Linked DNA regions of Coturnix japonica. The protein of the gene in region 1 interacts with the protein of each later gene in a pairwise test. Links are inferred from orthologs where the notes say so. Each region holds a gene or a part of one and is shown in the gene's direction. Other genes may lie near its edges.

Region 1 (4,412 bases):
TGGAACAGCAGTGCCACTGCACAGAAAATTTGCACCTGGAAGGATCTGGTGCTTGAGACACGCTATGGGACAATGGAGACGTGAGTCTGTGCATACAGGGGGGGACCCTTTCATAGAACCATAGAATGGCCTGGGTTGAAAAGGACCACAATGCTCATCCAGTTTCAACCCCCTTGCTGTGTGCAGGGTCACCAACCACCAGAACAGGCTGCCCAGAGCCACATCCAGCCTGGCTTCATTTTAAAGGGGAAAACTTTGAGAGCCATATCCTACTTGTGAGGCCTTCAATGGGACAAAATCAATTCCTGCTCCTAGATGTGATTTAATGAGGTCCAAGCCCCAAACTCAGCCAAGATGAGCCAACTCTGGACATGCTAGTTCAGTTCTGTGCTGTATGCAGCTTCAGAAAGTGAACACTGGGCTATGCAGAAGCTACATTACAAACTCTGCAAAGCATTGGTCATCTTTTCATCCCGTGTTTGGATCTTGGTACTCAGGTTGGATCTTAATCTATGACCGCCCTTATAGTAATACTTAACAGGTTGGCTCAGCAGGAAGAAGTCAGTGCAATGACACGACTGAGTGAGATGCATGTGAACATACAGAGCATTAGTAAGGTTATTAGTACGAATAGGTGTGTGGTTTATTAGCTCAGTCTTATAAGGTAAACTTTACTGTGGCAACTTTACAGCTTTTCCGGGAGCTTTTCCCGGCCTTCAGAGCCCGCTTGGCATTGATGTGAGCCCTGCGCTCCCCTCCCTCATGGGAGATGTGCAGGAGCTGGACAGACTGTGGAAGGAGTCACCTTTCCTGCAGGATGGAGCTAAATTAGGCCTCACAATGGGAATGTGAGGCCTTTTTTTTTTATTTTTATTTTTTTTTTGGCAATTAGCACAACCGCGCTGCTCATTTTAAGCAGCACAGACAAGCAGCACATCAGCTCAGAGTTCATTGCTCCCATGGCAAGTCTGCTGTGCCCCATCCACCCAAAATATTGCCCCAGATTGCAAGCACTCCCGCATGGCAGACCTATTCAGTTTAGCCCGGCTTTAAATGTATTCCTATGCTGTTTCTTCTCACGTGTACCTTTGTCCCCCCACCCGTTTCTCTGGCTTCCCTCCTTCCACACCTCGGTAATTCCTCCCGACTCCCCCCAGTCTCGCCGCCACCTGATGCAGCCCCCATGGGGCATCCCGCTCACATCGGCCCCAGCCCCGGGACGGAGCGGGACTCGGGGTGGGCACTCGGCCTCGGCCTCCAACGGAGCACAGAGCAGAGCAGAGCCGAGCACAGAGCAGAGCCGAGCACAGAGCAGAGCAGAGCCGAGCCCGGCCTGCCCAGGGGAGGGGAGGCGGCCGTTCGCTGCTCCGTCCCGGCTTTGTTGTGCTCGCCGCCCGGGCTGCGGGTTAGGGGGCGGGGAAGCGAAGGGAAGGGAAGGGAAAGGAAGGCGGCCGCGTCTCCTCCTCCGCCTCCTCCTCGGCCCCGGCCCCACTCATGGCGACGCTGGGCACATCCGGGCTTCTCCTCCTCCTCCGGCGGCCGCCGCTGCCCTGAGCGCCCGAGCCGACTCCATTAGCGCGTCCCCTCCCCCCCCGTCTCCCTTCCCGGACCCAGAGGCAGGGGGAGCCCCGGGCAAAGCAGCGCCGGGCCCGAGCCGCGGCCGGGGACATGTCCAACCAAGGGGCTCGGAGGAACGGGCCCGTCAAGCTGCGGCTGACAGGTGAGGCTGAGCGCGGCGGCGGGGAACTGCGGCCGGGCCTGCATAACGCTGTATAACAACGCTGCATAACGCTGAATAACGCTGAATAACGCTGAATAACGCTGAATAACGCTCGGGCACGGGGCGAGCAGCAGCGGGGCTGTGCGGGACGGGGCGCGGCGGGGAGGGGAGGGGAAACCCGCGGCCACGGGGGAGCGAGTTCCTGGAGCGGCGGGGAGCCCCGGCGAGCCCAGCTGGAGGGTGGGAGGGAGCGAGCGAGCGGGAGCTCCTCCATGTGTATTTGAGGTTGAACCTGGGCTTGGAGGCGGCTCTCAGGCCTCGTGAGGAGAAGGGGCAAAATACAGACAGCGAACTCTTCCCTCTCCTCCCGTCCGCTCCCTCAGTGAGGGCAGCTCCCCGTGGGCCGCCCGCCTCGGGAACAAAACGCCAGCGGGAGCCGTGTGGTACCGGGCACCTCAGCCCCGTCCCGCCGCCCCCACCGCTGGGTTTCGCTTTTTTTCCTTCGCCTTCTCAGCGTGAACTTGAAAGAAAGTGACACACGCTTTGTTTTCATCTCTTTGTTTGTTTCTTTATATATATATATATTTTCCCCGAGCCGACTTCCTTAGTGAAGGTTGTACACAGTCGGTTTGACACGGTGCCTTGTGTGGGCAGCTTTCTCTCAGAAGACCACTTGACCTCGAATGCTTTAAAATAGCATTAAAAAGCTGCTCACCTGCGTGCAGGGAAGGAAAATACGCTATTTCCAAGCACTTGAAGTGTTATGATCCTTTACATGAGAGAACCAGGTACATTGATCGAGAGAAGGAACACTGGAGCTCTCTTTAAAAAAAAATAAATAATACAGCGAAGTTAATAGGACAGAGCTGCTCCAAAGTGATGTAAGGCCCTCCCCCAGCTGATAAATCCTATCTTGGGTTCCAAAGTGTGAGTGCTTGAAGGTAAGCCGTTAGAAAGCAGGAGATACATTGCTTCAAATACTCTTATTTGCAGATAGTGGGTTTAACCAGCTTGCAAAACAAATATGTTTTAACAAAAACCTGAAGGAATTGGAACATTAACTATAGGCACATCTGAAATATTTCCAGTTTGATGTCATATAAATACAGATGTTTTCATATTTATTTTTTGCAAGCGTGCTGTTTTTATAGAGGAGATGCAATGTATGTTTTGCTGTGGAAGTACCTTGGACTAAATTTATAATGTAATTTTCATTGAGATGTGTGAATGCCTATATAATACAGTGAGAAATGAAATCTGTGAGCTAAATGTGGCTGGGACCGATGCATGGAGCAGTGCTGCCTGTTTGTACAGTGCTTGGGAGCTTTTTCTTCAGGTTACTGCTTTATTGATGCAAAACTTTAATGCTTTTTTTCCCTTTGCTGTGAGTGCTCAGACTTGCTTATCTTCGAAACATTGCGAATAGTCTGGAGCCTTTAGTAAAAGCCTGGAAAATACTGTTCAGGCGGCTGTCTGCTTCACCTTTGGGTTTTGTATTCTGTTGTGTTTTATTTTGATTAAGGATTAAGTACGTCTTCTAATCCTGTCTTTGACAACATAAATATGTCAAGGGGAGTGTAGCTGTGAGCAATAGGCAGTGGTTGTATGTACCGAGTGGTTCCCAAAAGAAGCAGGTACGTTCTTGAGGAACGATTCTGAGTTTTTCATTACCTGTTTTTTAGGAGGGGTGGCTGCAGAGCAATGGATTCAAAGCAAAGTCGCCTTTAGAGAGAGACTGCTCCACTTTTAGCATCTCTGTGCAGGCGCTGAGAACCGGTTCTGTTATTTGGAAGCTTACATGAAATATTGACCTATTTCTCAAGTTAGAAAGACTTGAGGTATTTTGTGCTTTAGCAAACTGCCTGTTGTTTTTTATGCGGTCGTTGGTTGTAGGGAAGCTTTATATGCTTAAGAAAAGTTGTTACAAACATTGGATTTTATTAATTGAGCTGACACGGTGTCAGTCCTTGCATAGGAATAGATCTAAGTGTACTTTGTGGCTTTGATGACCCTTTTTGATTGGAAAAGCAGTTTGAGAGCTCTCAAATTCTAGAACTGTTTGGAATTAAAGGAATCTGTATATTCCAGTGTTTTAAAAAGTTTATTTTCATGCTTGCAAATGCTATATAACCTTAATTTTCTTTGGCTTTATGATGCCAGCAGTCTTCTGTTCTGGCTTGAATATTTATAGGATTAATTCTGTAAACATTGTGTAACACTTATCTTTCCTATTTGTTATCTCTAAATTAGATACTATAGATTGAAAAAAATAAAAAATAAATGGATTCAAGAACTGGATTCAATTAGCAGTTTTTCAGGACATAAACATTAAAGGTTTAGATGGAAAACATTGTTTTGACTGACTGGATAAATGACAGGGTAATGTTTGATGTGAGTCCAAGAGCTGATCTGTAGTAGTGCCCAACTTCTCAGTCGATCCCGAGGAGCCAAATAAAATATTGAACCTAGGCCTCATTTTGCAAAAAAGGTTGATTCTTTGTTGGGACCTTAAGAAAGTTCTGAGAAATGTTTGGCATACCTTTACACTAAGTGTTTAACAGTTTATTTAGGTCTGGGTTCCATAACAGAGAGAAACCACAGCGGTGGCATACTTCTAGTAAGTTTTTATTTGGTTTGCAGTGCATCTGTGTTATAAATGTTCCTTCAGAGGTTCTTCTTCTGCTTGTAGTCG
Region 2 (4,598 bases), on another chromosome or scaffold:
GAGCTCTTGAGTTCAACCCCCTGCTAAAGCAGGTTCCCTACAACACTAGGTTGAGCAGGAAAGCATCCAGATGGGTCTTGAATATCTCCAGAGAAGGAGACTCCACAGCCTCTCTGGTCAGCCTGTTCCAGTGCTCTGTCACACTAATAGTAAAGAAGTTCTTCATCATGTTCAGATAAAACTTCTTGTGCTCCAATTTCTGCCCACTGTCCTTTGTCCTGTTGCTGTATGCCACTGAAAACAGCCCATGCACTTCACTCCTGCACTTCAGATATTTATAAACAGGGATGAAATTCCCGCTCTGCTTTTCTCTTTTCCAGGCTCAACAGATTCAGACTACTCAGCCTTCCACATACAGGAGATGCTACAGGCCCCTCATCACCTTTGGGCCCTCTGCTGGACTGTCTCCAGAAGACCCCTATCTTTTCTGAACTGAGGAGCCCAGAACTGCACACAGCACTCCAGATGTGGCCTTACAAGGGCAGGGCAGAGCGGAGGATCACCTCCCTCGATCTGTAAGCCACGCCACGTATGATGCACCTTAGGTTCTCCTTGGCCTTCTTGGCCATAAGGGCACACTGCTGGCTCATTGCTGCCCACCAGGAGAGCACCTGTACTAGGTTCAACTAGGCCTGAAATCTTCAGTGTGGAAAAGTCCAGCTGCACAAAACTTTTAACATGATGGTCAGTGACACATAAACAACGAGCTGCCGGATTATATTCACAGAATCACAGAATCACAGAATGACCCGGTTGGAAGGGACCTCAAGGATCATGTAGTTCCAACCCCCCTGCCTGGCAGGGCCACCAAACATACACATTTACTAGATCAGGTTGCCCAGGGCCCGTCCAACCTGGTCTTGAACACCTCCAAGGACGGGGCATCCACACCTCCCTGTGCAGCCTGTTCCAGGGCGAACCACTCTCTACTGAAGAACTTCCCCATAACATCCAATCTAAATCTTCCCTCTTTAACTTAAAACCGTTTCCCCTAGTCCTACTATTGTCAGACCTTTCGAAGAGTTTACTCCCTCCTGGGAGTAAGTTCCCTTCAGGTATTGAAGAGCTGCAATGAGGTCACCCCGCAACCTTTCTTCTTCTCTAGGCTGAACAAGCCCAACTCTCTCAGCCTGTCCTCATCGGGAGGTGCTCCAGCCCCCTGAATCATCTTCGTGGCCCTCCTCTGGACCCTTTCCAAAATCTCCATGTCTTTTGTACTGAGGCTCCACACCTGGACTACAGTACTCCAGATGGGGGCTCAAAAAAAGCAGAGAGGGACGATCACCTCCCTATCCCTGCTGACCACCCTCTCCTGATGAGGCCCAGGATCCCATTTGCTTTCCGGGCTGCCAGAGCACACTGCTGGCTCATGTTAAGTTTCTCATCTATCAGGACCCCTAGGTCTTTTTCTGCCGAGCTGCTCTCAAGGAGCACACCTCCCATTGATTCAAACATCAGCCGTGATATTTTTGGTGTCGTGGAGATGCAGCAAGCACACTACGTCCCTTTCACAGAGAACAGCCTCTTTCAGGCACACAGCCTCGCCCCCACGCAGGTCCCATGGACAGCCCAGGCGGGGCCGTCCTGCGGCGGGGCATGGACTTGGGGCACAGCCCGGGCAAGGCCCCGCCCCGAGCCGAGGGCGGAGCGGCTGCCGCCGCCCGACTACAGGCCGCGGTGGGGTTGTCCGGCTGTTAACTGCCTCGGTAAGCGCGACTGGGGGCCGGGTCCTTTCGGAGAGGCTCGGCTGTAGCCGGCCCGGTGGGCTGAGGTGAGGCGGCTCGTTCGGCTGCGAGCGGTGGGAGGGCGGCCGTGGGGAGGCGGGGCTGCCCCCCGGGTTGAGCCCGGGGCTGGTTGTGGTGGTGCTGCGGGCTGAGCCGGGTCGGGTACCGGCTGGTGCTGCTTAAAGGGAGCGACGGGGCCGGATCATTCCGGGTTAAAGTGTCGCTGAGAAGCAGGTATCCTGTAAGCGGCTCGGTACGGAAGTTGAGGTAGAATTCCCTGCTCCGTGTGTGCCGCCTGCTTTGAGAGGTTCGGATCGGGGTGGCCTTGTGTTGTTTTTATCTGCTGGTGAGAAACCTGTTGGTGATGGCGGGGGGCTGGTAGGCCTGCTCGTAATTAAAAGCGTTAAATAACAGTCTTGCGTAACTGCGGACCTTATTGGAATCGTTTCCCTTTCCCGGAGAACACGAGATAGTGATGGTGCCTTTGTACGCAGTCCGGGCCGCCAGCTGCCCCGCCGTGTGCTCACTTTCCGTTCCGGAGATGTGCTGGGTTGGCACTTGAGAGCTGACAGCTCTGCCCTGACACCCTGTGATGGGAGCTCACACTATGCACGGCGTCAGGAAGAAAGTTGGTTTATGAGGAGAAAATAGGCTTGAGACAGCAGAGCTGAGAGGAGGGTAGGAATGACCGTGTCGGGTCAGATCGCTGGCTTTCGTATTACCCAGCCCTCAGTGCTTAAATATCAGCTGTAGGCCACCACTTAATGAAAAATTTAAGCGCTACTCTGAAGAGGCTAATTTAAATAAGCTACAAGGGGGGGAAAATAAAAGAGATGAAGTTGATCAGCTAGTATCTGCTATGTTCAACTGAATCCTTTGTAACAGTTGCGCTGGATCAGTATGTTCTCAAAAGTTACTGATGCCTTAATTGCTTTTTATTAAGATTAAGGCTTAAATAGTTCTGTCTGTGTTGTAGTTCTCCTTCACTGTCTTCATCTTTGAAATCAGCAGCTGACAGATAAACAGGTGACATATCGGAAGATCTCTGGATTAAGGGGTTGGTTTTGTTCTCCCATAGCCGCACCTACAAATACAGGGAGCTGGATGGCATATTCTACCTCTGTCGGTCAGGATATTTAATCCCCTTAATAAGCATTAGGCGTCTTGTTTACGTTTTCACAGTTAGAACCACAACCAAACTGCATTTTTAAACTTTTTTATTATTTTAATGGAGTTTGCTGCATTAGAAGAAGGGTGGTCAGCCAGAAAGCTGAGGTGCCAGCTTACAATATCAAATGGAATCTGATATTGTAAGCTGGCCCACATTGCCCCACTGCCCTCTAGCATCCCTTGGCCAAGTCACTTGGCACCAGACAGTATATCTGTAATGATGTTGGAAGGGGGCTGAGGAATGAGTCAAGTGCTGGTTTGATCTGTGATTATCTACCGTGTTCATCAGCTCTTTTCTTAGCTCTCTTTTGAATCAGCTTTCTCAAAGACAAGTTCCTGTGAGTCTTACTGAGCACTAAGAAAATATCTGGCCATCCAGATCCAAAGGCTCAATTTTGGAGCTCTTGTATTTAACAGTATGCACTTGGCCATTTATCCTAGCTTTAAAACATAGGAAATAACAATGTACAGAAATAGATTACAACATACTGGGCATTTAAATACTGTATTAAAATCATACACTGAAAAAGATAATGACGACTGATATTCCTTGCATATGATCAAGAAACTACTTTGACTTCAGGAAATGTTTCCTCTTGTATTCTGAGGGAGCAACCCAGCTGGTTTATTTACTTCAGTATACCCACCATTATTTTGTATTGATTTTAATTCATTTTTATTTATTAAATTTATACACTTGGTTATAAACTGACTTTTAGTTTTCCTGTATTAAAATCAACTGTGAATCCCTTCCTCTGTTCCTAAGTGCATTGTCCCACAAATGAATAGTTTGGCTCTGACTGCTGTACACGCAGCACAAATTTGGGATGTTTCAGACAATCAGAGATGAGTTAACAATGCTCCCACTCTTCTGAGCTGCTAAGCCTGTTTTTGTATCTCCGTCACACATGGCCATGCAGTGCTGCCTTGTATGCACTGGACCTGCTGACATCTCAGTTTCCTGACACGTCTTTTATTTCGAGTTAACAAAGATTTTGCTTTAGTGAGAACAGTTCTGTTGACAGTGCAGCGAGCATATAGAGTGGTACTTTACTATTGCTCACTCTTAAGCAGAAATACAGCTGTTACTTTTGCATTTCACTTGTCACTGTAAAAGAAGACAAGGTATTAATTGTTAGGAAAAGTAATTACTTAAAATCTGGATAGTATCTTTGCCTTAGCTGCCCTAACAAAACCAAATCAAAACACACGGGGCAAAGCAGGTGATGATGCTGCAGTGTTTGTTCACACAGGCAAGTAGTTACTGCCCTAAGCAGGGACTTGATTAAATTCACAGGCTCTAAAAACGTCAAAATGCAGAGTGTTGCTCATAAAGAAATTAACTGTGATGTTGGGTTAAACTCTGACCTTCTTTATTGCTCTGTTAAGTCTTTTCTGTTCTGGAAGCTTCAAATAATTTTTAGATCAGTGTTCTTCACTGTTGAGCTGTCTTTATATCCTCTGTAAAAGAAAAATGATTTTCAGTAAATGCGAGTGTTGATGCAAGATGAAGTGGTTTAGGAGTCCCTAGGTTGTTTTTTTTTGCTAGCAAATTACTTGACGCGTATGTCTTCAATGACTCCATATGCTTGGTTAACGTCCATCACTTTTTATTATGAGGAAACTTAGTGCACTTTCTATGAGTGATGTAAGGACAAAACAAAGGTTCTCCTAGACCATAAAATCTTCACCGTGGTGTATAAT

The links.
Region 2: the proteins of SMURF2 (region 1) and SPART interact in a two-hybrid assay, tested with the Homo sapiens proteins (2 studies listed by BioGRID and IntAct). The link is inferred for Coturnix japonica from reciprocal best matches to the Homo sapiens genes SMURF2 and SPART.

The regions. Positions count from the first base shown.
Region 1 is NC_029533.1:7,186,432-7,190,843, forward strand, and holds the start of SMURF2 (E3 ubiquitin-protein ligase SMURF2), read left to right. Parts: upstream 1-1,339; 5' UTR 1,340-1,668; coding exon 1,669-1,720; intron 1,721-4,412. UniProt on the Homo sapiens protein: E3 ubiquitin-protein ligase which accepts ubiquitin from an E2 ubiquitin-conjugating enzyme in the form of a thioester and then directly transfers the ubiquitin to targeted substrates.
Region 2 is NC_029516.1:154,378,024-154,382,621, forward strand, and holds the start of SPART (spartin), read left to right. Parts: upstream 1-1,581; 5' UTR 1,582-1,706; intron 1,707-4,598. UniProt on the Homo sapiens protein: Lipophagy receptor that plays an important role in lipid droplet (LD) turnover in motor neurons.